4 linked regions of the Alligator mississippiensis genome follow. The protein of the gene in region 2 binds, or shares a complex with, the protein of the main gene of each other region. Links are inferred from orthologs where the notes say so. Each region holds a gene or a part of one and is shown on either strand. Other genes may lie near its edges. The genes, in order: CC2D2A, TMEM17, TMEM216 and TMEM237.

Region 1 (6,858 bases), on a different chromosome or scaffold from region 2:
CCGGCTCCGTCAGCTGCAAGCACAAGCAACGGGAGGGGGAGCGTCAGCAGCGCGCGGCCCCAGTCAAACTCAAGCCCCGCCCCCTCCGCAGGACCCGGATGTTGTGCGACACCCCCCCCAGAGCCCCGCCCCTAGAGTCCCGGCGCGCGTGCGCAGCAGTCAATCCCCCCGTGCAGCCCGTGCGGCGTTCCGCGCATGCGTACTGGGCTGATCTGGCGTTGCTGCGGCTCCGGTCCGTCCTGCCTGCCCGCTCACCGGGTTCTTCCGCCTCCGGGCCTCCAGCGCCGCCTGCAGCCCGCCCGCCTCCGCCTCCGCCTCAGCTCCGCGCTCCTGCCGCGTCCGCGGGGAGGCACGTCGGTGCATGAAACAGATCACACGGGAAAGAAACACGTTTAGGCCTGCGGGGCCGTCCTGCCCTGAGCCCGGCTGGGCCGGGGGCCTGGGAAACCGCTCCCTCGCAGCTGGCACCTGCCCTGGGGGGCTGCTGGCGCCGGGCAGAGTCTCCAGGAGACTGCTGAGAGTCACCGGGGAGATAAACGACGGGGCATTCGTCCAAATAAATACGAAATGCCGGCTCCCATTTAGACAGTAGTCCAGTGGGTTTTTTAAATGTAACAGTAATGTACAGGCGTGCAGCGCAATAGATTAATTGGGCATTAATGTTGTTCTGTCGCGTGCTGAAACCTCCCAGGATAGATGCAGAGGTGGCAACCTGCGTGCCTGTCGGGACGTGCAGGATGGAGACCTCGCTGCGCCCCCTGTTTAATACCCGCCTGCTCCAGATTATGCACCAGTGCTGCCCTGCCCTCTTGCCTGCCAGGCCTCATGGGCCATGCACGGGCCTGTTATGGGCCACATCCAGCTGGTGGTCCTGATCCACTGCCCAAGGAGGGTGCGCCGGAGCCCCTGTCAGTCGCACAAGAGGGTGATGGGCAGCCCAGCCCTGATCCAGGGGCTTAGCTCGCCTGGCAAAGGAGGATTGACCTGACCCCAATCCAGCTCCACAGGGGGAGGGGGAAAGGCCCAGCCGGGCAGGGGGAAAGGGGAGTGATCTGGCCTCACACAGAAGTGAGTGAGCCCAGCCGTGATGTGGCCATGTGGAAGAGGGGGTATGGCCCAGTTTCCACCTGCTGCAGGAGGACTCGGGGAATTTGGCAGTAGAGGGAAAGTGGGGACAGTGGCAGATTTACCATGAAGCAACCCGTGTGGTGACAGGGCCCCAAAATGCAGAACAAATCTGACAAATGACTAAATAAGCATTGCAAGTCGCAAAGCGGTCCAGAAATACATATATTACTCTTCATGTAATTGACAAAGGTGGTGGATGAACAAAACCGTATCATAATTTTTGGTGAAAGAAATTTCGTTAAAACAATATGTGTCATAATTATTAAACTAACCTCCATAACCATCATCTGAGATTCTTCACTGAGATTCATGTTTGTGATACATGGTACTTGGCTGTCACAAATAACAGAAATTACTGGCGGGCCAATATACAGATTAAATACTTACACACTGATCCAACACACTCCACATGAGGCATACCTCTGCACCATATATATATAACCTTTAGACTTATGATGTCTTAAAATATAATTATTTAACACTTCAAAGCAGTTTTGCAGTTTTGAAAACTGGATTTTTTCCTGTTTTTGTAATTCGCATAATCTTCAAACTAAGGCATAATGTGTGATAATTCTTAATAGGAGTGATGCCACTGACAGTCTGTACTGTCATCCCTGCTTCCTGCATAGGAGCAGGTTACAAATGTATTAGGGTTAAGAAAATGTGACCAGAAAATGTCACTCCGCTGCTAAAAACACCAAACGAGATTTAGGTAGTAAATTCAAAGGCTTTCCTAACTAGTGTTGGGGGCCAAACTAGCCCAAAGTATGGCTTGTATTCCTACAGCAGTATCAGCTATGCCCCATGCTAGTTAGGCAGCCCAGATCAGTGCAATCATACCAGCTCACAAGTTCATTCCCACTCCAGTACTGCACAGAATGGCTAAGTATAATGTCATTGCGTAAAACTGAAACATCTGCCTGTTTGCAGCACTAATATCCCAGGGCAATATAAATATTATACTTCAGTAAATTATAGCATTTTAATACTTAGCAGATTTCACTTTTAAAACATTAGAATAGTCTTGTATGTACATGAAAAGGACAAGGCCTTTGAATCATTTTAATGCTTTTCTAATATTTCTGGAAACTAAGTGCCATAAGAAACATTTTAAAAATATAATAAATAATTGAATTCCATGCTTTACACTAGAATACAAGAGATTTAAAATTATTCAGTATCACAGGGAGTTGCCTGTCTCCAGATGACTTACAACTGAAAATAGACATTTCTGCAGTTTACTAACTTCACTTTTAAAAATAAATTACCTTGAGAATCTTTATAAAAGTTGTTATAAAAGTTGTTTTGAGGATTTCTGCATCTTAAACTTGTCTCTAATAAAAATGGAGAATGTGGAGATACTTTAAAAGCTTTAAAAAGGAAATATTTGGGTCATACCTGGGTTTTCTTAGGCAGCATTTCAGGAGTTGCAATCAACAGTCTGCCATAACAAATACACCCATCTTAGCAACAAGGTTGCTAAGGAAGGTCACTGAGATTTGTTTTTAAAGAGAAAGAGTCAGCAAAGTGTCTATGGTTTGCTACATACACATAGGGAAAGACCATCCCTTTAAAAAAAAATCAAAGGAAAGAAATAGTGGTAAATAATGCATACAAAAGATCAAGGGATCATGGCCACCCTGGTCAAGCACTTACTTACACATGTGAGTAACTGCATTCACTTCAATTTTTCCAGCTATTTAGTTGGTCTAATAAAAGATATCACATTTATCCTAAGAACCTTGTCTGCCTATGTTCACTTCATTAAGACTCTCCAAATGTATATCTGCAGGATTTGCAGGATCAAAATGAAATTGTGCACTAATGGCCAATATGTATTACACTAATGTATGTAAAGATCTGGGGCTCTTTTTTATTCCCCAGTTCATAGACAGAATGCATAATATATATCCTTTTATTTTCTTGAAATGTAAGTTAAGTGGAGATGTGAGAAAAATCTGAACGTGCATATTCACCTATATTCCCATCCAAGTCAAGTACCACCATTTTAAAATTATATTACATTATGTTACATTACATTACATTACACAGCATTGAGGATCTAGAGTTCATCAGTAATAAGTGAGTAGGTGTGACAGTGGGCAAGGAGGGAATAGAGTTCAGGGATGGATCTACAAGGGGTGAAGTGGTTCCATCTTTCAGTCTGCGCTGCAGGAGCAGCAGCAGGCAACTTTTCTTAAATCCAGAAATCAGGTACGAATCTCTCCTTCCCTTCTCCCCCAATCTTAATTTTCTATGATTCTCTGTGCTCAGTGGCATATCCCATCTCCCCCCACCCCCCACTACTGCTGCTGTCCCTAGTGTCTCTGGCTGCCCCAGGGGAGTGGGGTGCTCCACAGCTGCTCCAGTTTTGCTTCAGCTGGGTTGCAGATGGAGCCAGGCTTGGCCAGGAGCAGCAGTGGCAGTGGGCAGGTTCCTCCTCCATGTCCAGGCCCCTGAGTATTCCTCGCTAGCCAAGGAGTAAGCTCAGGGAAAGGGAACCTGCCCAGTGCTGCTGCTGACACGGTCTCTGGCAGCACTGCATTGCACAACAGCATGGACAGCCGCAGGCAGGAGTGGGAGGAGAGTACAAAGGAAAAGGGAGGGAGCGCCAAGAATGGCAGGGAAAATTCTTACCTGTTTTGGGGACTCAAAAAAAAAAATCCCTAGCTGCTGCTCCCATGGCGTGGCTTGCCCATTCTTGTGGTGGAGGGAGCGAGGGAGGCAGAACTGGGAGTGGAGTTACAGACCCCCCTTCCATGTCAGTCGTTGCTCCCACACCCCCTTTACACAATCCTGGATCCAACCATGGCAGAATATAGAAAAGCAAACCTCCTTGGCTTCAGATTCCAAAATAATGCTTTTCTGTTTACTATCTCTACTTAATCCTATTCAGTCCTATCATCCAAAGGGACATTTCCCTCATTCAAAAACATAACAGATGGTAAAAAGATTTCCTTGAGAATATTACAATATTAGATACCATGCAGACTTCTTTATTTCTCATCAGTCATTTAAAGATAGACCTTTAAAACCATCACTTGACACAATCTCTTTAATACCATCTTCCATTTCTGATTCCACAAAGTTTTAGAAAAAATCTATATCAGTACTGCAGATAATCATGCCCACCCTCTTTGAAGATATGTATGCATTTCACACTATTGCAAATTTTAGCAAAAATTTTAAGAGGTATTTGTTTGGAACAAGCTCTGGAAAAAAATGGAAACATAGCATACTGTAAAACAATGTGTTTCTCAGAAGTTATGATGTAGAAAAGTAGGATGTTTTTCTTATAGTGTCATGACTATAAAGCTGTTAATAAATATTCTGGCTATGGGGAAACAAGACTCAGAAGCAGACATAACAGATCAGGTAAAATGCCATTGATTCTTATTTATAAAATTATTAATATATTCATAGACATTAGGGCTGGAAGGGACCTCGGAAGATCATTGAGTCCAGCCCCCTGCCCCAGGGGCAGGAAGTCAGCAGGGATCATAGGATCCCAGCAAGATAAACATCCAAATGTCTTTTGAAGGCATTCAAAGTAGGTGCTTGAACCACCTCCAGCGGCAGTCTATTCCAAACCTTGGGGTCTTGGGCAGTAACGAAGTTCTTCCTTATATCCAGCCTGAAACAGTCATGGAGGAGTTTGTGACCATTCAATCTTGTCATCCCTTGGGGCACTCTGGTGAACAGATGTTCCCTCAGCTCCTGGTGTGAACCCCTGATAAACTATAGGCAGTCACCAGATCACCCTTGAGCCTGCGCTTTTCCAGGCTGAAGAGTCCCATAGCTCTCACCCTCTCATCATAGGGTCTGTTTTCCTGACCTCTGATCATGTGTGTGGCTCTCCTCTGCGCTTTCTCAAGCTTCTCTGCATCCTTTTTCAATTGTGGAGCCCAAAACTGGACGCAGTACTCCAGCTGCAGCCTCACCAAGGCTGAGTACAATGGGAGGATGACATCCTAGGATTTGCTTGAGAAGCATCTATGGATGCAAGCCAGCGTTTTGCTCGCTTTACTAGCTGCAGCATCACACTGAAGGCTCACGTTCATCTTGTGGTCAGTCATGACCCCCAAGTCCCTTTTGTCTGTAGTGCTAGCCAGCGTAGCACTGCTAAGCCTATAAGTATGTTGCAGGTTTTTCTTCCCAAGGTGGAGAACCTTGCATTTTTTGGTGTTAAACACCATCAGGTTCTTGTCCTCCCATTTCCTAAGCCTGTCAAGGTCAGCCTGGATCACCCTCCTGTCCTCAGGTATGGACGCTTTACCCTAAAGTTTGGTGTCGTTGGTGAACTTGGCCAGTCTGCTTCTGATACCAATGTCCACATCATTAATGAAGATGTTGAATAGTGTTGGCCCAAGGACGAGCCTTGACGGACCCCACTGGTCACAGGGCACCATGACAATTGACTTCCATCAACTAGCACCCTCTGAGTCCGACCACGGACCCAGTTCCCCAGCCAGCAGATCGTGGTGAAGCCGAGGCTGCAGTTAGCCAGTTTCGCTAAGAGGTGATGATGGGATACCAGAACGAAGGCTTTTTTGAAGTCAAGATGTATGACATCAATCTCTTCTCCCTTGTCCAGGTGATAGGTCACCTGGTCGTAAAAGGAAATAAGATTGGTCAAGCAAGACCTTCCCGTGACAAACCCAGTATTCAAGCCACAACAAACCCGTGCTGACTATCCCTCAGGATGCTGCCGGTGGCCAGTCTGTTAAGAATGGTGTGATGGAAGGTGCCTGTCACGGCGGGGTCCTCGCGGAGGGCCGTGATCTCCTTGAGGCCCTCTCACCGCGCTACTTCGGCCCGAGGGCACCCTCCATTCTCGCCCGCCACGTCTTGATGGAATATATGTAATAGGGAGGCTGCCTTGTGTTTCCTCAGGCCTGTCAGCTCCTGGACCCCTCGTGGGTCTCCCCGTATAATGGGCACTACCCAAGCGCCCTAGCCTTATGGGCTATGCGTGGCTCCTACCTCCCCTGATACCACGCCCCAAGCCTCGCGGATGTAAAGGACGTTGTCCGGTCTGTCTCTCTACTGTGGCCCACCCTGGGCTCCCTCTCTCATGCCCAGCCTCTTGCTGGGACTCTCGTCTGGCCCACTCTGGGCCTCCCCTGCCAGTGTGGTTCTGCTCCGGGACTCTCCAGCGGGCCTCCGGTCCTATGGGCCAACCGCACAGACACCCTCCCTGACTCTGGCTCCCCGCGCTGCTACTCCCTGTCTTCTCAGGGGCAACCGCAGCGCCCTGCCTTGGTCTGAGGGGGATTGCCGCACTAGCCTGCGGCCGGGCTCGCTATGCCCGTGCGCCCACACTGGGCTACTCAACAAAGCACAATGGCGTTCCCCCTCTCTGGGGCTCGCCGCGCCCACACTGGGCTACTCAATAAAACACCATGGCGTTCCCCCTCTCTGGGGGCTCGCCGCGCCCCCACTGGGCTACTCAGTATGGCCTCGCTCTCTAGGGCTGCTCAGTATGGCGCTCCCCCCTTCTCTGGGGCTCGCCGTGCCCACACTGGGCTACTCAATAACGTACAAGGGTGTTCCCCCTCTCTGGGGGCTCACCGCGCCCACACTGGGCTACTCAATAACGTACAAGGGCGTTCCCCCTCTCTGGGGGCTCGCCGCGCCCACACTGGGCTACTCAATAAAACACCATGGCGTTCCCCCTCTCTGGGGGCTCGCCGCACCCACACTGGGCTACTCAGTATGGCCCCGCTCTCT
Region 2 (7,768 bases):
CAGTTTTGCCTTTAATTAGACAAGCTTATTCGCATTACCTCATATTTAGTATGATATCAATAAATACCTGAATGAATTACTAATGATCTGTTTCTCTTATGTCCCAAAGAGCAGTTCAGAAGAACTGGCACTTGCTACCATTTGTGGGCAGGTGCCAAATTCTTCTTATGATCTCATTTCCATTTCCTGTTAAACATCTCTTGTTTCTGCATGTGCAACCCAAAAGTTCTGTATCTTTTTTTTTCTTTAAGACTTGTGACCTGATATGTAACAACACTATATCATTGAACCCATCTTCAAATATTGGCTAGTTTCTCTTTGACTTCCAGTCTCCTACCTGTCCTTGCTCTACCTCGGAAAGCATCATCATTGTTTCCAGTTCAGCCTCATGCAGTCATGGTACCTTCAATTCTCAGACATATCCCAGAAATCTTTTTATCAGATGCTGAAGTATTCATGATAATTAATTAGCTAGGTGGAGGGGCAGGAGAATATAGTAAAGGAACTGGGACAAGGCTTTAAGGTAATAGTGTAAAGAGGCGGGACTGTCTACACTAAAAACAGAAGGTACAAGATGACTGACATGTTTAATAGTCCAACATTTTTATGTATAAAAACTATTCCAACTAGGAGGAATGGGAGATGACCTACAGACCTCCAAAAAATGTTCATTACTTAGCTATAACATGCTTTCTTAGTTGCAGCCTGTCCTGATGAATGCAGGACAGTTCATTTCCAGATATTAGAAAAGGAACTGCTTCTGGAGAGCCGTTCAGAACTGGAACAACGTATCAGTTGATATCAGCAGCCTACCCTTCAATGGATAAGTAACATCTAATTACAAGGAGGCATTTTAAACTGTTGCAAGTTACTTATGGATAATGGTAATGGTTTTGATTAATGACAGAGGCCAAGATTTTTAATTTTCTGTGTGACCATCTTGTGATGCTATGCTACACTGGGTTGTTCCAAGTATTATTCCAATGGGTACATTTCTGAAATACCTGTCCTAATATTTCAATATTAGGCCAAATTCCTAATACTTGGATTAGGATTTAAGATTGAGTTTCAGGTAAATAGTTGACAAAAGTAGCCAAAAATGTCAACTTCTTTCCCCCACTCTTGAACTAATTTAATTGCTGCTTACTGTAGGGTGCAATAGGACGCACCGGAGTAAGATACTGGGTGTATTTGTCTATCTTATTCCTTGTATTACAAACAGCAAAGTATTTCTTCATTTGTAATTTTTTATGTAAAAAAAAAATCCTATTTGATACTAAAGGTGGTGGAGAAGCGGAAGGTATCGAACCAGGCTTTATAAAGTATGATGCTTGCTATTATAAAGAGGGGACTGAGAGAATTTAAGCACTGAAATGGGTAAATCCAATGCCTGTGACTCCCTGTGTTATTTTAGCACCTGAAAACCCCCAAATTGCAGGAACAGCAGAGGTACAGGGGGTTCAGAAATGGAACGGTGCTGTTTACTGAAGGACCTGAGCCTATACTACTAGTTCAATTACCTCTGGTGCTTTTTCTACAGTCCTGGAAGCCCTGGAGCCAGGCTGTTTTGGTATTAAAAAAAAATTAAAAAGACAGGCGTAAGGCAGGGTAGGTATGTACCTTACAGACTAAGTAACTATGATTCTATATGTGTGTGTATATCTATACAGAGAGAGAACAAGCTTTCTTGAAGTCCACCCCACTTTAGCAGATGCTGCGAAGAGGAGCCTAGACCAGCGGTTCCCAAACTCTGACAAATTGCGCACCACCAATTTAAAACAATACAACCTTAAGAACCACCAGCAAATTTTTCAGTTTGACCTTAAGTATCACCAGCAAATTTTTGTCATATATAATAATAATAAATCTGTTAATGTGTACCACTGCCACGGTGTCTGTGTAGCACTGGTGGTACGTGTACTACAGATTGGGAACCGCTGGCCTAGACCTTTCACTGCCACTGATGAAGAGAGCTTGAGTTCAGGAAAGTTAGGGGTGTGAATATACACCTGTGTGTATGCCTGTTTGCATGTGTGTAAATACTTACACACACCCAACCATGTGTACCTCTGTCCAATTCAGAATTTGTGGTAGGGGTGATATCTTTTATTAAACCAACTAGATTTTTTTGGGGGGAAAAAAAGGCTTCATAGATTTCATTGACATTAGTGCTGATCGAGTCCAGCCCCCTGCCCCACTGGTAGGAAGTCAGCTAGGGTCAAAGTATCCCTCACTTGCAAGCTATCTTTAATTGCAATTAAAGACTTTTTTTCTTTTTTGCAAAAATCTAGTTGGTCTAACAACAGATGTCACCTCTACCACGAGTTCTGATTCCTTTTGCCTCATGTTGCTACAACCTGGATATCTAACTCATTAAGCAGAAAAAAGCCTGCCCCGCCCGTTGGCAGGACCCGAGGACAGACAAAGGCAGTGCAGCTCAGCCGGTACCACTGCGCACGCGCTCACCGTGCCTAGCGGGAGGAGGCGGTGCCCTTCTGACGGGCTAGCCCGTTCCTGCCCCGCCTTCAGCGCCCCGCCCCCTTATGTGGTGGCGCCGCTGTAGTCCCAGGCATTGAGCAGCCGCGGGGACTGCTCGCTCGCAGGTTGGGAGGGAGGCTCCCTTCCACCTGCGAGTGAGTGAATGAGTGTAGGAGGGGCTGCGCCGTTGGTTCAATGTGCGAGCGAAGTAGAGGAGGCACCTGGGCCGCCATCTTGGTTCCTGGCAGCGACCCGCGAGGGTGCCGCCACCGCCGCCATCTTTGCCGCTGGCACGGGAGCCAGGCCTTACCCGGGCTACAGCCGCCGTCGGGGTACTCCGGGCCGGTGCGGTTGCTGTCGCTGAATACAGTCCGGCTGAAGTTGCTGAGCCGTCTCCGGACTGGCTCCGGCAGCGCCATGTCTGACCGGGAGCCTCTAGGCCGCCAACGTCCCGGTTGCTATGGGAACCATGAAAGCGAGTCAGAACGGGCGCCCCGCCCCCATTGCGTGGCCCAGTTAGCGCCTCTGCTCCCCCTGAGGGGCTGGACGGCCCGCGCATGCGCGGTTGTTCTACCTAGTTTTGGAGCCACGACAGCTCTGCTGGCTCTCCCGGGGGATGGGGCTGCAGGCGGGTTGAGTCCCGATTTGGGATGGGGCCCTGGGGCTCCCGTCTGGCCTCCACTTAGGGCTGTGTTGCCGGGTTATCATAGTTGCACGATAATTTCAAGCCTTGTACGAGGTACAATCAATAATAGTAAAAGTGTTCAAAATGTAGGACATACAAACGACTAGAACTCTTGGTTCCAAAATGATACCTTTTATTAGACCAACTGGAAAATGGGAAGAAAATTGTCCTTTTCTGCAAGCTTTCAGAGCAAAGTCCCTTCGTTAGGCTCTGGGAAAAATGTAGATGATACAAGATGGTAAAAAGTCCCCATAGGTAGGAAATAAACTTAATTTTTGCACACATGATTTTGGATGATTTTTGAGTTTTTGCATGATTTTTTGAGGCAGCTCATTGATGCTACATATGCAAAACCCAAATCACTCTCAGGGAGTCTTCAGTGACTTCTGTGTTTGCTGTTAGCACTTTCTTATGATTTCTTCCCTCAAAATGAAGAGGGGCTTCAAAACTGACAACCCAGTTCTCACTCACTGGTGGGTTATACTGAGCAATGTAAAGTCAATAAGAAGAAGACTTATTTGCGTATTTCCCAGTGTAGGATATTTTTACAGCAAATGAGATAATTTTGAGCTTCCAGTATGATCATTTACTATTTAAGACCTGACAATGGTGGCTTAAGGCAGTGCAGCAGCTTTTCTCATTACCGGTGCTTCACACTAGTGCTAGGGGCCTTCCCCCTTGAGTCTAGGGTCAGGCCCATCCTTTTAAAATGATCCCTGAACCAGGCAGGAGCCCTGTTGAGTGCAGCACAAAGGTACAAGACTGACAGGCCTGCAAGCACAGAGCCTGGGGCTCTCAGGGACCAGCTTCTCCTGGGTTGCGGCAGGGTGTATCCTGCCCCAAGGGCCACGGAAATTGCAGGTCTGTTCTCAGTGTCCTGTTCCTGTTCCCCCAGTGTGCTGAACTTAAAAACTACAAAATACATGTTCAGGAGGCATGGCTGCACTGAGCACAGTTTGTCCTTTGCCCATTAGGAAGAGTCCAATGGAAGAAGGAGAGAAAGAAGCTGGGTCAATCAGTGTCCACGCTTTCCCAGCTTTTCTTTTGCTCAGAGGGAAATTGACACTTGTTTCATGAATAACATCGTGCTGTGAATGACTGCATTAGAAAATATTCCCTCGGTTGAGACACTCGCCTGTGTTGGGGCAAGTTAGAGTCTGATGATACCATCCCATATTATTTTTGAGTGTCCTTTTTTCTTCTATCTGAGTATTTCCTGGCCCTAAAAATTGCCAAAAAGTCTCTCTTACTTTTATTTTAAAAATTTGGTCACCTTACTAACCACGCATGGAGCCCCAGGAGGAACGGATCAGTTTGCTAAGGCTTATTAAAATGTTATAGGGTCTGATGTTTTCAGAGAACCAGGGTGAAGTCCTTCAGTACAACTAATTGAGTATGGAAGAAATGAGTATGTGGGCACACTAGAAGGGAGGAATAGGCTGCAATTGGACCTAGACAGGTTACAGGGGTGGGCAGAAGAGAACAGGATGGGTTTCAACACTGACAAGTGCAAGGTACTGCACCTGGGGAGGAAGAACCAGCAGCATACCTACAGGCTGGGGAACTCCCTTCTTGTCAGTGCAGAGGCAGAAAAGGATCTTGGAATCATTATTGATGCCAAAATGAACATGGGCCGACAGTGTGGGGACGCGGTCAGGAAGGCCAACCACACCTTGTCATGCATCCACAGATGCATCTCAAGCAGGTCCAACGAGGTGATCCTCCCCCTCTATGCGACATTGGTCAGGCCACAGTTGGAGTACTGCGTCCAGGTCTGGGCGCTGCACTTCAGGAGGGATGTGGCCAGCATTGAGGGTCCAGAGGAGGGCCACCCGCATGATCAGGGGGCAGCAGGGCAGGCCCTATGAGGAGGCTACGGGACCTGAACCTGTACAGCCTCCACAAGAGAAGGCTGAGGGGGGGATCTAGTGGCCTGTTATAAACTAGTCAGGGGAGACCAGCAGGCATTGGGGGAGTCCCTGTTCCTCTGAGCACTACCAGGAGTGACTAGAAATAACGGTCACAAGTTGGCAGAGGGTAGATTCAGGCTAGACTTCAGGAGGCGCTACTTCACAGTCAGGGTGGCTAGGATCTGGAACCAACTTCCAAGCAAAGTAGTGCTGGCTCCTGCCCTGGGGGTCTTTAAGAGGAGGCTGGATGAACACCTTGACGGGGTCGTTTGACCCCAGTACTCTTTCCTGCCATGGCAGGGGGTCGGACTTGATGATCTGCTCAGGTCCCTTCTGACCCTACAAACTATGAAACTATGAAACTATGTAATTGGTTTCCCCCTTAGACCACAGCTGAAGATCAGTTTACAGCCTTCAGCATGAATAGTGATAACACTTGTAATTTTAGCCTAGCTAATGTAACTATAGAATGTAGTCATATAAATGTCAAATCCATTTCCTTTCTGCACCCCTCCCCCTCCTACAACAACAACAAAAAATCTTACCAAGCTATTTCCCTTGGTAATATTGGCTGGTAGCGAATTTCACAGATTAATTATCTGTGACTGAGAAGAATGTTTTAATCCATTTTAAGTTTAATTCCCCCTATCCCACTAGGTCAACCACACAGAAAAACCATAAACATCACTTTTGAAAAGTTTGTTTGATTTTGAGCTGGTGAAAGCAGCTGGATCGACACCAGATTTGCCTCAAAGGGCTTCCCGTGGAGGCAGGGATCTTACTGCTTGAATTCTTCAGAAGGCATGTAAGGGAGGAAGGATTTTTGGAGAGCCACAGGCAGGTTTAGGGAAACTAGAGGGTCCAGTAGTTTCTGGAGAGGTTAGGTTCCCAGCTCAGGAGTAAATACTTATATTGAGTAGATGGATTTGCCAAAATGATGATGCTGGCAAATGTAGTACAGCTTATAAGGTTGGTCAAGTGTTGTTATCCCTATTTTACAGATGAGGAAATGCAGCAAGGGTCTAATTCTGTAGAATGCTGAAAGCTCTAAGATTCAGTACAAGTCCTGGGAATGAGAAGAAAGGTAAGCCAATTAACCTTAAAGCTTTAAGATGAAAGACAAATAATACAACTTTATTCTAAGAAAGGTAGGTCTATCCTGTTATCAAAGGTACAGTTCATACCACATGTAGACTAGTGTTTCTTCAATTTTTGATACTTGGGATGCCTTTTTTAATGGATTAAAATTGGTGGCACACCAAATGGGTGCGTGCATGTACATATATTTATATATCTCTTATTCAAAACAAAGAATTCAGGAAGAAATTATACCAGTGTTAAATGTACTGTTAACAAATGACACCAAATATATCTTTCTTTAAGCAAAGATACATTTCTATACCAGTGCTTCTCAATTTTTTTAGCCTCTAGGTACCTCTGTAACTTTTCTGTATTTCATGGCACCCCAGTTGAAAATCACTGAGAGATCTGAACTCCGAAAGAGAGTGTGTGTGTGGGGGGAGCTTGTAGCTAAAAAAGTTGAGAATCATTAATTTAGCTTGTGCCACTTAAGCAGTGGGGGCAGATGTTCACCTGGCTGAGCCCTGCTCTTCCCACTGTCTGCCCCCTCCCAACCTCTGGCCTGTACCTCAGGGCAAGGGCAGGCCATCCTGGTGAGGCTGTCCCTAGGCTGCCCCTATAGGGTCTTGCATGCCAGTGACCACCCTTGCAGGTCCACTTGACCCTGAGAACATGGGAGGAGTGAAAGGGATGAGCCAGGTTGCAAACTGCTGCTCTGTGTGCACCTACTCGCCCGCACCCAGCAGACCTTTTTGCTGGGAGCAATGGAGGGGGGCGGGCAGGCGCCTGGCTAGAGTGATCACCTTTTCAAAAGGGGAAGACAGGACACATGTCCACCTCTCCTCTGTCCTGCTGCTGCCACCACCATGGCTAGCTGAAAGCCGAAAGGAGCAGAGCGGATGCAGGTTGCCTGCTGTGGGCTCGGGGCATCCTGCTCTGCTGCCTTTCCCCTGGGAGCCCGATGCTGGCTGCTTGACCCCTTCCCACCCAGCAGCAGCAGGGGGCACAACTCCATGCTATTACCGCCCCTGCCCTTGCTGCTGCCAGGTGGGCAGGGGGCACCTTACCATGGTGGCACGGCCAGCACAAGCCCCCCTGCAGCAGGGTGGGGACCCCTGAGACCATAGTAGGCAGCCCACATCTGCCTCTGCCCCGTGCACAAAGCTGGTGGGGCATGTGCTCCACATTACCCCCGCTCCCTGGAGGAACCTCCCACGGTTCTGTCCTGCTCCTTGTCCTGACCCCATGCACCACCTTGGCTGGGCATCATGCCCAGCCCCTGCCCTGCTCGCTCCCTCACCCATGGGGGCATTGATCTGTACCCCCCCCACCATTGACTTACCTGCAGGGAGCTGCTCTCCATGCTGCCTGGCTGTATCTCCCAGCCATGTGCATTTGTGCAGGCGTACACATGAACTTAGCACCCCGCTGCCAGCCTGCAAAGGGAAACCGGCTATTTCCCGATCCCTGCAGGTGCTGCGAATCCAGGACAAATGCTGTCCTGTAGTCATGAGGCCGGGAACTGGGACTTGAGGTTCTCATTGCAGGACTGTCCCACCCAGTTAGGGATGGGTAGTTACCCTAGGGCCGGTACAAGGCTGCCTGGGGGCAGGGA
Region 3 (7,498 bases), on a different chromosome or scaffold from region 2:
GTTTCCACTGGGCTACTCAGGGTCTTCCTCCCCTACCCATCTCATTTCCCCCTACAGCAGAGGAACAGTTACCTGGAGAAGGAGGCCAGGGTGAGGATGCCCAGGAGCAGCTCCACAGCATAGAAGAGCAGCAGGATGGCATTAAGGATGGCCTCCAGGCGCAGGGCATAGGTCTGCAGCAGCAGGTAGTAGGCTGCCATCACAGCCGCTGGGAAGGTCAGGGCCAGGCTGATGGAGAGTGGCACCTTCCGCTGGCACAGGTTCCCCTTGGAGCCTGTCATGAAATGTGGCTGTGAGCATCTCATGCACAGCCCGTGTCGTTCCCTACAAAGAGGTGGTGCTCAGGATCTGCCTGCCCACGGAGCCCGGGAATCGGGTAAAAGGTTCTTTGCCTCTAGGGCACTGGCCACAGGCCAGGAATGTGGTACGGGGAGATTCCTCCCTATGGTATTGGTTCTTGTTGGATGCCCAGTTGGGTTCTTGTTGGGCGCCCAATTGGCTGAAGTGAGGAGCCCCTTTGCTTTAGGACAGTGACCCTGTGGTGGGGACCAAAAGCCACTTGTTTGACAACTGCTTGTCACCAGCCCAAGCCCACCCCAGGCTCTTACCATGAGGTGGCACCTGGCCCTGTTCTTCCTAAATACTCACCAAAAAATATCCGTGTGACTTCGATGCCAAGGTAGAGGAAGAGCATGACCAGGTCCAGGGCCAGGTTGGCAGATGGGTAAGGTAACAGCAGCCCTGTGGCACAAAGGCCATCCCTTTCAGGAGGAGAGCAAGGCCACACCCCCACCCTTTTTCTCTGGGGTGCCACTGTCCCTTACCCACTGAATAAACTGATAAGCCCTAGGGATGTGCCAGTGGTCAGAGAGGTTACAAAGCCCAGGGAAGACAGGCTGTCTAACAGCTCCTGCCTGAGCCAAACTGCAAAGTTTCTGGCTTTCTCCCACCCCTCCCTGCTCAGGTGCAGTCTTGCAGGGGGCTGGGGCCACTGATGTAGATGGATGGGCTGGAGCGGTGCTAGGGAAGCCTCTAAGTATGCAGGGGTCAGCTCATTCTGTCGCTCTTCCATCAGCCTGTGGGCAGCATCTGATGTCCAATGCAATCAGTGGTGGGCTACAGCACATACAAGCGCCTGGGAAGGTCTCTTACCCTTATAGACAAATATGAAGATCTCCAGGAGGAAGTAGGTCGCGTAATACCAACCATTGAGGAACAGCAGGATTTCCAATGGGGTGGAGGAGAGCTGGCGACCTGGGGGGTGGGTGGAGAAAGCAAGCAGAGCATGAACAGGTAAGGCACCTTAGCAAGGAGGAGGAAAGGGTCATATATATTTTCCCAAGATGCTGCTCCCTCCTTCTTGGCTGAGGAGCTGCATGGCTCTCTGGGGGCATCAAATGCATGGGGCTGAACAAGAGGAAAGGTGGTGAAGGCCCTGGTGTGCAAGGAATCTAGGATGCTCCTCCATCCCCAGCTCCATGGGAACTGGGCAGGTTGCTGAGGGCTGGTGTTAAAAGGCTCCTCAGCATCCTAAAATGCAAGTAGGGACCTAACGAGGTCTTCAAAGGGCCTGGTGCTAACACCCCGGCAGTGGGTGAGGAACAAACCAATGTGACGGGCTCCCTACTCTAGCCCTGTTCATCTGCTGGTCCCAAAGCACTTTGTGAAGGAAGGCAGCTGCCCCCATATTACAGGTAGGGAAACTGAGGCCCATAGAAGTGAAGCAACTTGCCTTCAGATCTATGGCAGAGCTGGGACCAGACTCCCATTCCCGGCCAGAAAGAAGGTGCTGGCCAAGGGGAACTGGGGTGCCTTCCTTGCCCACGCATGCCTCTGAGAAGAACGTCCCTAAGCAGCATCCACAGACTCCCTGGATCCACTCAAGGGGCAGCGGGCAATAACTGGCGTTTCCTGCTCAGTGATCTCTCTCGGCGCCCTCCTTACCAACCTCTGACCTGTGCTCCCGTTCCTGTGCTTTCATCCCTTATCCAAAACACTTAGTCATCCTTCATGTAGTGGCTGCTCTCCACCCACTGAGGGGGCCTGTAGTTCCTGATGAGCCTGGGACCACCATCGCTGTGTAATGATAGGCCTAGCTCTCAACCTCAGCATCCTGGCCGCGAACAAACACACAAGCTCCTGGGGCTGGAAGTTGAAGCCTGCCACCATTAGCCTGGAAATAAGGTGCATGTCTCGAGCAGTGAAGGCAAGTAACCGTTGGAACAGCTTTCCCCCAGCTTCTACCTCCCCAGCTGCTGCTAAACCAAGGCCAAGGGGTTTCTTTGAGACCCGTTCTGGTTCAAAACACTGTTGTGGGGGGGAGGTCCTCTAGCCTCCGCCATTCAAGACATCAGACTGTAACCAAATGATTCCCTCCACACCCCCATCTGCAAAGAAATTGCGTTAGACACATCTGATCCCAAGTTACTCCCTGTTTCCTCTTGCTAAGCTAGGGATAACATAACCCACCGCTCTCGCTGCCCGTTTGGCCTGTCAGCGCTTTGCAGCGAGGGGCTGCTCTGTGCTGAGGCTGGGAGCTGCCCCCCTAACAGACGTTGGCGCCACAAAGGAGGTTCAGCAGCTGGTCCGCCCTCCTCCTTACAACTGCCTGGTGCTGTCGCAGGGTCCTCGCCCGGCCGGGCTCCGGAGCTAGGACCGGACACAAGCCCCTCCCAGGGGCAGCCCGCGCCCCGTTTGCAGCCGCCGCGCCCAGCTCCGACATCACGCCCCGGGTCTTGCTCTGCCTTTCTCCGCTCAAGGGCAGGGCCCCCCCCATCACTGCCCAGCGCCGGGGGCTGCTCCCGGGGGCTTTGGCCACTGGACCTGCGGGGGGGGCCAGTAGGGCGGGCCCAGAAGGGTCACGTGACCCCCGCGGAGGCTGGGGGAGCTCGGCCTGGTCCCGCGCCCCCCGCACTTACTTCTGGGCGCCATCTTCCATCTCCATGGAAACCATGGCACGCAGCGCCGGCGCTTCCGGGAGCGCGGGGGCTGGCGAGCAGCCCGCCGCTCCGCCTCTGGAGGACCCGCTCGGAGTCACGTGACACCCCCCCCCCCCGGGGCGGCCACTGAGACTTCTTTCCCCGGCCGCGGCCAGGCTGGGGGGCCGCAGCCAGAGCAGGGGATTCAGCCTCTGGCCTCCTGCGACAGTAGCCACTGAGAGTATGGCAGGCCAGCACCCTGGAGACTCGCCTGCATGCACACACACAGCACCAGGTTTTGGAAAATGGAGCCTTTTTAATTTTCTGCTCGTTTATAAAACGGGGTACAAAAGGACAGGCTAATGAGGGCAGAGAGGCCCCAGGGCCGTACAGCCAGCCTCGGCCTGCCCAGGACACCAAGTGGAACGGGCGTGGGAGCTGCTGCTAGCAGGTGCCCGGAGCTGAAGGGCGAGTGACAGGCAGGGGGATGAGAAAGGGCAGCTGCGGTGCCAGCAGGGCACAATCACACACATCTGGCCCTTCGCGTCAGTGCATGAGGAGGCAGCAGCTAGGGCCAGAGCAGGGCTGGGAGTGGTCCACACTCTCCGGCGGGGAGAAGGAGCGGAGGGGTGCGAGTGAGGGGCAGATGCAGCATTGAGGTGCTGGCCTCGAGGGTGACTGTCCGCCTCTCTTGGAGGGTGCTGAGCAGCGAGGTGCAGAACTAGTGGGCAGACCATCCCCAAGTCCAGTGCCTGAGAGGATCATCAGGTGCGGATCTGAGCAAACTCTTTGCGCAGCCACATGGAGTCCTGGTAGAAGCGGGGGTCACCCAGGTGCACAGCAGTCCTCTTGTAGAAGTAGTAATACAGCACAGCCGCTGGTGGGAGCGAGAGTGGGTGAGAGCAAGCCCAGCAGGCCAGAGCTACCCCACCCCCACTGCCTAAAGGGGCACACCAGTGTGCTGGGAGGCCTCATGCCCCCAGACAGAACTGGGAGCCTGGCCAAACACTGTGTCTTAACCCCCAATCCCAGGCTGGGGGCACCATAGCCCACCCCACTGACAGCACAGTAGCTGTGCTGTGTGTGCAGGGAGGGCTGTTAATGGCTCCCTGCATGTCTGTCCATCCCTCTGCCCTGCATCAGTCTGCCTCCAGCCCTTACCCAGCCTCTGGAACACGAAGAGTGCCTGCAGCCCATCTGTCCACACGAAGCCATTGGAGTCCTTCCAGCGCAGGTTCTGAAAGAGACACACATACACCAGGAGCAGAGGCCTTGGGTGGGGGGGACATAAGCCCAGTGCCAGACCACAGCACTGCCTACTGGGTCTCTTCTAAAGGGCCACAGCTCCCCCTCCAGGCTTTGTTCAGCCTTCAACTTATGTCACACTAACTGCAGCTCCTCAGTGAAAGGCAGCTGTGTCAGCTTCCCAGAGCCAGTTGGTGCCCCCTAGTGGGCAAGCAGGGTGAAAAATCCCTCCACTGCCCTGATCCCTTTCCCTGCAAGAATAACTGTCTGTCTCTAAGCCCATTCTGATTGTAGACACAGAGCAGAACAGCCAGGGAGCAGCTCTCGAAGCATGCAGAGGTTAATCAGAGATCAGCCTGGAAGCATCTCTCTGGGAATCCTCTTAAATCACCCTGTCCAGGCAGAGCCACAGGCAGCACCCACAATGCAGAAGCCCTCACCTGATCTAGGCAAAAGGCACCTCAGAGCAGTGGGGCTATGGTCTAGGAACAGGGATGCAGGCAGAGGGAAGGGATGAAACAGGATACCTGGGTTCTACCCTCAGTTCTTCTGTTTGCTTACTCTGTGGTTTTGGGTGCATCACACACTCCCCCTGCTGTGCCTTGGGATAGCTTTCCAGCACCTCTTGCCAGGGCAGTAATCCCATGCAACACATCACACCTGCCATCAAGCCACTCTGACAGTGGATTAGCTTTACTTGGAGAATTGGTTACTACAGGGAACCAGAGCCAGCAGCAGCCCAGCATCCAGGGCAGGCTACTCCCTTCTAGTCTGAGGACTCCCAGCCACAACCATTTCACAACTCTTGTCTTTTTAAACATGACTCCCTCACCGTATCCCACTTAGAAAGCACCCACAAGTGATCACTGAAATCAGCAGCTTGGCCCCTGTCAGGAGGGTGCTGTCTAGCACTGGCTTTGGTTCTCCATGGAGCAAGATCATCATGAACAGAAAGTCATGGAGTAGTAATAGTCCCAGCTGTCAGGTTTGCATGACCTGATGCCAAGCTGACAGCCAGGTCTATAACCCTCCAGGCAGGAGGGAAACCCTCTGTTTCTCCACTGGGAGAGCTGCTTCCCTGCCAGCCTTGCTCTGGCACCAATGCCTCTGCTTGCTCTGGCACCGATGCCTTTGCTTGCTCTGGCACTGGCCTCCAAGTGCTGCTGGGAGGAGGTGGGCTAATCCTCACATTTTGAACCAACAAACCCTCTCAGCTCTGTACAATGCCTGAACTGTTGAGTGACTGCCCCCAGCCCCAGCCTCCTTTCTCACTATGACACCAAGAAAGGCCTGGACTTAGACAGCAAAGCCTGCCTGCAGTCACAGCACAGGACCCAGCCTGGGAAGCACCCCCAGCAATCAGTTTGCAGTCCCAACCAGGATTATGCCCTCCAAAGCAGTAGCTGGCCAGACATTCAGTAATGGAGGAATGTCCCACCCTGAACCTGGCAGACAGTATGAGTTTCTGCTTGGCCCTGCATTCAGCCTCCTGGGATGTGGCAGCGCAATGCTGGGAGTAGAGAAGCAAACTTAGCCCCATCCAAGAAAGATTCTGTGCACCTGAGGAGAGCAAGATCCTCCCTGTCACAAGGGAGACAAGAGTGGAGCTCCCCCCAACCCTGCTGCTGCCCTCTGGGAGGACAGGAGGGAAAGGGACTTGCACTCTCTTCCCTAATGCTCCAGAGCTCCTCCCTTGTTTGGAGCAAGGTGTGACAAACATGTTCAGGGAGGTCCTGGGGGCACAGGGGCTCTGATACTGCGTGGCTACATGCAAGTTCATTCTTTTCGTAGCCCCACTGTGTCTCCAGGTGAGTCGGGGACATGGGGTCCTTCCAAGGTGCAAGAGTCCTGACCTCTCAGACTGAAAGGGCAGGGTAGGATCCAAGCACAGCTTCAGCCTGGCAAGACTTCACAGGAGAGGTTCTCTCTAGCGGGTGGCCAAAACGGGCTGGGTACACCACAGGGAGATCCTGGGGCCTACGTCTGAAACTGTAGATATCAGGCACTGTCAGAGGGGGCTACCAGAGGAGGCAGATTCATCCCGCAGGGTGTCAGGTACTGCTGGATGAGCTCAACTGCTCTGGAGGAGGATGAAGTCCCTGACTAGACAGATAAGGGATTCTTATGCCCCTTGGCGAGACGCCCTGATCCCAGAAGCTGGCACGGTCCTGCCCTACCATGACCCAGATGTGGAAGGAGATGCTCAGAGCCAGGTACACTGCCGACAGGATGATGGTCCCTTTGAACTTATGGAACAGCAGGTTGACCAGGCCGGCCTGGAAGACGAAAGTGTTGAAGAACATGAGGAAGATGATGATGACGTTGAAGAGGACGGCAATATCCTGGATGCTGTGGGGGAGAGAGAGGGCGGTGAACTCCCAGGCACCTGTGGGGACCCTGCCATCCCCGGTTGCCGGCACTCACATGAAGAGCACGAGCTGGATGACGGGCGCAGCGCGCAGCAGCTCCGAGAAGGAGTTGACGAAGAGGTCGTAGAAGAGCAGCAGGAACTGCAGGGAGAGCACCATGCTGTAGCTGCTGGTCTGCAGCATCATCTTTCCCCGCGGGCCGTGTTCTCAGTGGCTGCATTCCGGGCTGCGGAGCCACCTCATTCCCGGGGCCCGGGGCCTCCTGCGCCGCCTCGCCCTACGGACGCGCCCCGGAGCCTGGGGGGTGGGGGAGGGGGAGATGTGGGTGTTATTCCTGGCAAGGCCTGGGCCGGGGGGAGGAGGGGGACCCTTGCCTACCCCGTGCCCGTGACACTGTCTCCGCACAGGCACCCCCTCCCAACGGGCCCTCACTCGCCTGACACCGCCATCTTGCATCCCCATGGCGACCGCGCTGCCATCCCGGGAGGCAGGCGGAGGGACCGGAAGTATCCCGTTGCCACTCTGCGGGCACTTCCGGGGAGTGAGACGTGGCGCTCTCGCCTCTCTATGGTGCTGGAGGACCGGGGCATGGCCCCCGCTTGAGGCACGGGCCGCTGTGATACCCCCGGAGCAGGTCCTGGTCCGCGACTGTGGGGTCCCCGTGGTCCGGGCTTTGGACGGGCTAAAGGGACAGCGTTTACTTGCGGGGCAGGCTCAAGCAGGGACCAGCCTGCCTTGAGTCAGGGGGTGGGGGCAGCCGGCTGCACGTGGCGCATCTGGGAGGGGGTGGACACCCGAGCAGCGGGTCATGCGGAAGCAGAAAGCAGAGCAGCCGACTAGGCGGAGGGAAGGGTGCAGAGTAATGGGGGCCTCCTTCCGGTTCTAGCTGGGATCTGGAGGACTTGGATCATAGAGAGGGCAGGCAGGTGGGCGGGAGCGGCTCTGAGCCAGGTGCAGAAGTGCGGC
Region 4 (7,319 bases), on a different chromosome or scaffold from region 2:
ATCCTAATCTAACCCTCCAACATATTTACTATTACCCCCAGCTTGATGTCTTCTGCAAACTTGCTGTGGGTGAACTCTATGCCATCTTCCAGGTCATTGATGAAGATATTAAACAAAACTGGCCTCAGGATCGACCCCTGGGGCACTCTGCTTGATACTGGCTGGTAACATTGAGCCATTGACTGCTACCCTCTGTCCCTCATGATATGGCCAGTTTTCTATCCAACCTGTACTTCCTTTCATCCAGCCCGTACTTCTTTCGCTTGCCTGTGAGAATATTGTGGGAGACCATATCAAAAGCCTTGCTAAAATCAAGGTATACCACATCCACTTGTCTCCCTGCATCCACAGAGCCAGCCATCTCATCATAGAAAGCAGTCAGATTGGTTAGGCATGACTTGCCCTTGGTGAATCCATGCTGACTTTTCCTAATCACCTTCTTCTCCAAGTGCTTAGAAATTAATTCCTTGAGGATCTGCTCCATGATTTTTCCAGGGACTGGGGTGAAGCCGACTGGTCTGTAGTTCCCTGGATCCTTCTTTTCCTCTTAAAGATGGGCACTATATTTTCCCTTTTCTAACCATCTGGGATCTCTCCCGATCCCCATGAGTTTTCAAAGATGATGGCCAGTGGCTCTGTAATCACTAACTCCCTTGGCACCCTCAGGTGCATTCCATCTGGTCCCATGTACTTGTACACATCCAGCTTTACTAAGTAGTTCATAACTTGTTCTTTCACCACTAAGGGATGCTCACCTCCTCCTCAGACTATGCTGCCAGGTGCAGTAATCTGGGAATTGACCTTGCCTGGGAAGACTGAGGTGAAAAAGACATTGAGCACTTCAGCCTTTTCTGCATCTTCTGTCACAAGGTTGTCTCCCCCATTCAGTAAGCGACCCACACTTTCCCTGATCCTCCACTTGCTAATGACATACTTGTAGAAACCCTTCTTGTTACCCTTCGTGTCCCTTGCTAGCTGCATCTCCAGTTGTGCTTTGGCCTTCCTGACTTCATCCCTGCATGCTCAAGCAATACTTTTATACTCTTCCCTAGTTGTTTGTCTGAGTTTCCACTTACAAGTTTCCTTTTTGTGATTTAGTTTACTGAAGAGTTCCCAGCTAAGCCAAGCTGGTCTTCTGTCATACTTGCTAGGTTTCCTGCACATCGGGATGGTTTGTTCCTGCACTATCATTAAGATTTCTTTAAAGTACAACCAGCTCTCCTGTACTCCTCTCCCCCTTCAACTGGCTTCCCAGGGGATCGTGCTCATGAGTTCCCTGAGCAACTCAAAGTTTGCTTTTCTGAAGTGCAGGGTCCTTAGTCTGCTGCTATCCATCCTTCCTTTCCTCAAGATCCTGAACTCAGTCATCTCGTGGTTGCTGCTGCCCTAGTTGCCGTCCATTACTACATTTCCCCACCAATTCTTTCCTGTTTGTGAGCAGCAGATCAAAAGGAGCACAGCCCTTAGTTGGCCACTCCAGCATTTGCACCATTTAAAAAACTTCCTGGATTGCCTGTGCATTGCTGTATTGTCCTCCCAGCAGATGTCAGGGTGATTGAAGTCTCCCATATATAACAGTATGGAATATTTTATAACCTGAATACATTAGAACCGTTTCTGTTTGCGAATGAGATTTTGTTTTGTTGTTTGATCTCCTGAGGAATATCTGACAAATGCATATGCTGCAGTCTAGTAGATAACAGTATATATTGTGCAGAGTTGGCAAATGAAGTTGTTTTGAAATTTTTCAGATTTTAGTTTTTAAAAACCTAATAATGATTATATGTGCATAAAAAGCTATGACTGATTGTGGGGTTATACTCTGCCAACATTTTTGCTAAGCTTCCTGTTGGAATTGTCCAACAAGAAGAGTAAGTAGCAGCTGGCTTCATGGATCTTGATGGGAGGGTGTTTGTATCCACTGCCATATAAATTGTATTTGCTTTCAGTCTACCTTCTAACATAGATAAAATCTAGGATAGGGACATGAGGTCAAATCCATCTTCACACTAGTCTCACTTGCTTCAGTTAAATTAGCATAGCTAAAGTTTACTCATGTAAATAAAGGAGTGGTTCTCAATATTTTTAGACTCAAGGACCCCCTGGAGAGACTAGAGGCATGCCTTGGAGAATGTCAGCTCTTAGTTTTTACTCTTTGCCTACAGAAAACTAGTGTGTGTATGTGTGTGTGGGGGGGGAAGGTTCTGTTGCAAAGAAATCAAAAAGATCATAGCTATGGATTTCTGTTTGAAATCTCTGGGTTTATGTTGTGAGTCAAGTTTGAAAACCTAACAATGCCTAACATTGTGTGGCACCCCACAGCCTCCTTGAAAGGATCTTGAGATTGCCACAGCCCCTGCTTTGAATCACTGGTAAAGAATCAGGGTGTCAAGGTCTTGCATTTTTAGTTGTACGCAGTAATAACAGCCCCATTGCTGCTCCTAGTGGAAGCTGATGGCAGAACTCTTATTGACTTCAGTGTGAGTAGTATCGGGTCCTAAATTGGGGACAGCGAGGTTCACATACAGTTAATCTTGTCTGGGAAGCTTATTTTTAGTGCTGAATTAGCTGACGATCAATGTAAGCAGTGTCAGAGGGAATAGTTTAGTGTCTCTCTCAGGGACCAGCTTTAAATGACATGGGAAAGAAGCAAGTGGTAAGTTCAGTTTGGAGGAACTTTGCCTTGTTTCATTTTTGTGGGGCTTTTATTTAAATTTAAGTTTTTATCTGGAGCGTGGAGTAGTTTTCCCTTTTGTCTAGTACACTAAGACAATAAATAATCTGAATCTAAGCTGTTTTACTCTTCTAGGTAAGAGAATTATCAAGTGTGTGGGCTATACACCTGCTATTCTGTCAACAAGAAATATTTTTCTTTGAGTGTTAATTCTGTTTTCCCTTATGGTCATGATCTTCACCACTGTGAAAATATTCTGTTTTATTGAACATTTTATAATATTAAACAGTCTAGTCGGCATTTTAACAACAGTCAGGACTATCTCACTGCCCTTGTTTGTACTTCTAAATGTAAGATTTCATTGGTGATTCCTATAATTGTTCTTGATATAATATAAAAATATATTGATATTAAATGCCTACTTTCAGCAGTGTTCTTCTATTGTGTTCAGTACCTGACTAGAATGATAAATTGTCTTTCCTATGCATGTAGTTTTCTTATAAAAAGGTGAAGGTATTTAAAGAGTACTGTTACCACTTAGATGGTTATAGTTTATCTAAAATATAGCACGTATCAGAACTGAGGCATTGACGCAAAATATGTACCAGACACTGCTTTACAATTCTACATCTTAACTTCCATCCAGTGATCTCAAAACATATTTGTGAATTGTTTATACATACAGTGTTCAGAATTGCCTTTCGGAAGACTATCGATGTAGCCTATGTTAGAGACATCTAACATAATATCATTCCAAGGTCATACTTGGAATTAGCTGTTTTCTCTGAAATAATTTAGTAGGGGCTCAAAAGGTAAAAGATTTCATGACACACTAATGGAAGGTTTTTGTCTTTTCTGTTTCAGCGTCCACCCCGTGCCCTTCCTCCTGTGCCAAGGTAGGTTTATTTTATTCTATGTATTTTGGTAGTTTGGGAACACTGGAATGTACTTGAAAATTATGAAATTAAGAAAGATGAGTGCAGTAAACACATAAGGCACTCATAATGCTGTTAAATGATTTAGCAAAATCTCACTAAGGTGACAAATATTGCTCTCTCTTTGTTTTAATTTTTTACTGAATAAAATTTTAACGTAATTTAAGAGTAGATCTATCATTTTTTAAAACTAAAATTAAGGCTTTTTCCTTTTATAAATCTAATTATATTATATTTTCACACTTCACCAAAGAAATTTGCTATAGACTACATTGTTATACAAGATTTTACCTTAGCAGCAAATAATTGTAACTACTTTTTTAAAAAGTACCTTTAAAAATGGGCAAGTGGTAGGACAGTGTAAGGGCCTTGTTGTATGTTACACTGTGAGCTGCTCAAATGTTGATTGGTGTTACTGCTAGCTTGAATTTGGGGCAGTCGCACATTCAGGCGAACAGGGGCCTGGAGGACTGAGAAGTAAGAATCCTCCCCTCCCAATTTGGGGTTCCCACCTCCCAACCCCTCCTCTTACTTGTGGCTGCTGTCTATCCCAGGGGAGCAGACAGGGAAGGGTTAACCCACCTACCTACCTGCCTGCCCCCCTCTCCTCCCCTTTGCTGCTCTTCTCAGGGCTGAGCCTAGCCCAGGGAGCAAGGACTGGCAGGCAGATTAACCTTTCCTTGCCTGCTTGCCCAGGACAGATGGTGTGGGCAGCCACAAGTAAGTGGGGGGAGCAGTCAGTGGGGATCTGAGGTGCTGGTGAGCACATAGCAGGGGCAGCATGCCTGATTCAGGCCAGCAGGGGAACTGGAGATTGGATGGGGTGTAACACTAATGTGTAGCCTAGAGTTGCTGTATGCATGTATAACACAAGTTAGGTGACACAGATCAGAGAAATATAGCCTGGAGTGGCATAACAAAGCCATCTAAAGCAGTGTTTCTCAACTCGTGGGTCGCAACCTAAAAGCAGGTAGCAAGAATATATAAAAGGGTCATGAACAAACTTTAAAAATGGATTCTTCTTTAAAGGAGAAAAACATGGGAAACCATGACTTTTCCCTTGCAGGCTGGCAGAGTTCCAGTCTGCAAGGGGCTACTTGGTGCCCCCCACATGCTCACCCCCTGCTCCTCATGCTGTGGGTTGGGGCCTGGGGGCATGGAGCAGCGGGTTGGGAGCATGGGGCACCAGGGCGGGCCTGGCCATCCATGTTTACAAATGAGTCCTGGTCCAAAAAAGGTTGAGAACCACTGATCTAAAGAGTGCTTAAAACTAATTCCAGGTGTTAATGTGTTCAGGGGTTAAAAGCTCCAGGAGCTGCCTAAAATTAACGTATAACAAGGCCTTAACTTTGACTATCTAGAAGTTTAGGGGTATGGGTCCCTGCTACTCTTGTAAGACTTTTCATTTTTTAAAGAGACTGGGAAGCAGTTTAATTTGTTATATTACCTCATCATTTTGTGTTATTTGTTGGGGGAAAAACAGGTAAAAAGAAAAAAAGTCATAGACAAAAAGGCTACTTCAGTCTCACTAACTTATTTTCAGCCCCTTATCTTCCTCTTCCAAATGTCTCCTCTTGTCTATATTTTAGATTTTGAGAGCTTTGAGTAGAAACTTTTTTATCAGACTGGTGTCCAACATATCTTGAATATGGGAATAAGAATTTTCTGAATATGCCATATTGACACAGGAGTTGAAAAGATTTTATCCTTAAATTTCTATGTTCCATACATCAAGATAGGTTTTGATGGTAGGAATGGGAATTGGGCATTTTTATGGTCCGTTATGTCAAAATTCTTAAAAGTACTTGGAGGCGCATATACATTAGGGGTGTGCAAAGTGGGCCCCATTTGATTCAGGTTCAGATTTGGCCCAAATCAGGGACAGTGATTCGATTAGTTGATTCAGATCACTGTCCTTGATTTGATTCAGCCAAATCTGAATCTGAAGTTTCGATGCTGATTCAGGGAATCAGTGATTCGGACATAGACATAACTTTAAAAGTTTTTTCTACATACGTCGAGGTACCAGGCGTGACTTGTGATCGCTGCGATGCTGGGGTGCATGGAGCGTCCTACAGGAGTGTGGGGCGGGGGCGCTCCACGTGCTAGGCAGCGAACCCGGAAATGGACCGGAAGTACTTCTGGTTCATTTACAGGTCTGCTGGGGAGTGCTCTGGGGGGCCCCCCCACACCTTTCCCAGCTTGGCGATCGGCAATCAGCCATGGGGGGACCTTGGGTGCCCCCCCAGACCCAGGAGGCACTAGTTGCTGAGCTTATGGGGTGCAGGGGAGGGGGGGAGGCGCCTCCTGCGTGCTCCCCAGCGGACCTGGAAGTGGACCGGAAGTGCTTCTGATCCACTACCAGGACTGCTGCTAAGTACGCGAGCTGCCTGCTACCTAGAGATATGTAGAAAAAACATTTAAAGCTGTGTATATGTCCAAATCTCCGAATCTTTCTGAATCGATTTGGAGGGCTCCAATTTGAGTTGGAGAGATTAAAGGGTCCTCTGATTCGATTTGGAGATTTGGCCACTGAATCAAGCCAAATCTCTGCCAAATCAAATCAGGGACCAAAGCTTCACACAGCTGTAACATTGTACTCGTAAACATCACAGAGGAAACTGTGAATACTGATCATGAAATAGCTGCTTGCCTGACTAATTTATAGCTTCTTTCCTTGGTTCATGCATAGCAGACAGTCAGACAAGTTCTAATTAAATAGTCTAACAAAAGCTTTTAATTGTATCTACAGCTAACCAATCAAGAAACTGTACCTAGTCACATGAGGCAGACAAAATGTTCAGTCTTCGGTCTTGTTAAGCAGCCTTAATGTTGTCATATTTAAATGGTTGTAAAAAGTAAGGTTAAGGGATGTGAATAGACCATATACATTTTTATGCTTTAAGTCGGTTGCATTTTGAGTTTTAGTACAGTTCTGAATTGCAACTGATTTAACACTAATGTTCTTGTCCTTTAATATTGTTTTTTTCATGTTTCTTTCCAATATAATGGGAAAAAAACCTTGGAACTGAAGTGGAAACCATGGTGAGTTGGTTCATTGTTGACAAAACTCTGTCCATACAGAGTCCTTTTAGGTTTCTGTTTATTTTTCTTGGTTCTGTTTTTAATGTTAAATGTGTGAACTTCTAAAGTTTTGCCTAACAGCAGGTTGCTAACTATTATAAATTATTAAAGCTGCTTGCAAACACCCCCCCCCAGTACTATAATTTAAACTTGGTGCACTCCTGTGCCAAGCTCTGCATATGCCCAGAAGAGGCAGCGTGTTAGTTGGACCCGGCTCACTCAACATCTGTACAGATCAGGTGCTTTAGTGAGCTTTTTTAAATGTCTCCAAGCTGCCTAAGTGCTTTATGTGTTTGTGGACCAGATTCTTCAAAAGTATTAATTGCTTTTGATTGCCCAACATGAAACACTGGGGAAAATCCTCCTTTTCAGATGGAGAATGATTTAATTTGGAAAAGAAAAAAAATCAGCTATGCATTGCACAGGCTATACCTTACCATTGTCAATTCTGGTTGCCCTTTTCTGGATTGTATAATTCTCTGTTGTCTGTTTTGAGATGAGGTATCTAAACTTGGACTTTATGATCTAAATGAGTTTTATTATTCTTTAGAGCATCATTATAATATTTTCTTTCTTTTTAATGTACTATGGCAGGCCTAGCCTGGCTGGGAGGTCATAACCCCCAG

What was found.
Region 1: TMEM17 (region 2) and CC2D2A share a complex: the UniProt entries of both Homo sapiens proteins name them as parts of the tectonic-like complex. The link is inferred for Alligator mississippiensis from reciprocal best matches to the Homo sapiens genes TMEM17 and CC2D2A.
Region 3: TMEM17 (region 2) and TMEM216 share a complex: the UniProt entries of both Homo sapiens proteins name them as parts of the tectonic-like complex. The link is inferred for Alligator mississippiensis from reciprocal best matches to the Homo sapiens genes TMEM17 and TMEM216.
Region 4: TMEM17 (region 2) and TMEM237 share a complex: the UniProt entries of both Homo sapiens proteins name them as parts of the tectonic-like complex. The link is inferred for Alligator mississippiensis from reciprocal best matches to the Homo sapiens genes TMEM17 and TMEM237.

Annotation. Positions count from the first base shown.
Region 1 is NC_081825.1:32,741,248-32,748,105, reverse strand, and holds the start of CC2D2A (coiled-coil and C2 domain-containing protein 2A), read right to left. Parts: upstream 3,009-6,858; 5' UTR 1,440-3,008; coding exon 1,401-1,439; intron 341-1,400; exon of another isoform or gene 331-340; coding exon 256-330; exon of another isoform or gene 204-255; intron 66-203; exon of another isoform or gene 14-65; coding exon 1-13. UniProt on the Homo sapiens protein: Component of the tectonic-like complex, a complex localized at the transition zone of primary cilia and acting as a barrier that prevents diffusion of transmembrane proteins between the cilia and plasma membranes.
Region 2 is NC_081824.1:212,938,373-212,946,140, forward strand, and holds the start of TMEM17 (transmembrane protein 17), read right to left. Parts: upstream 3,016-7,768; 5' UTR 2,898-3,015; coding exon 2,789-2,897; intron 1-2,788. UniProt on the Homo sapiens protein: Transmembrane component of the tectonic-like complex, a complex localized at the transition zone of primary cilia and acting as a barrier that prevents diffusion of transmembrane proteins between the cilia and plasma membranes.
Region 3 is NC_081825.1:177,624,301-177,631,798, reverse strand, and holds the start of TMEM216 (transmembrane protein 216), read right to left. Parts: upstream 3,020-7,498; 5' UTR 2,932-3,019; coding exon 2,919-2,931; intron 2,597-2,918; exon of another isoform or gene 1,949-2,596; intron 1,255-1,948; coding exon 1,153-1,254; intron 742-1,152; coding exon 649-741; intron 275-648; coding exon 73-274; intron 1-72. Other genes in the region: TMEM138 (transmembrane protein 138), read right to left, coding at 3,683-3,795, 4,080-4,155, 6,341-6,512, 6,588-6,718. UniProt on the Homo sapiens protein: Part of the tectonic-like complex which is required for tissue-specific ciliogenesis and may regulate ciliary membrane composition.
Region 4 is NC_081827.1:170,806,878-170,814,196, reverse strand, and holds the start of TMEM237 (transmembrane protein 237), read left to right. Parts: upstream 1-4,310; coding exon 4,311-4,329; intron 4,330-7,319. UniProt on the Homo sapiens protein: Component of the transition zone in primary cilia. Required for ciliogenesis.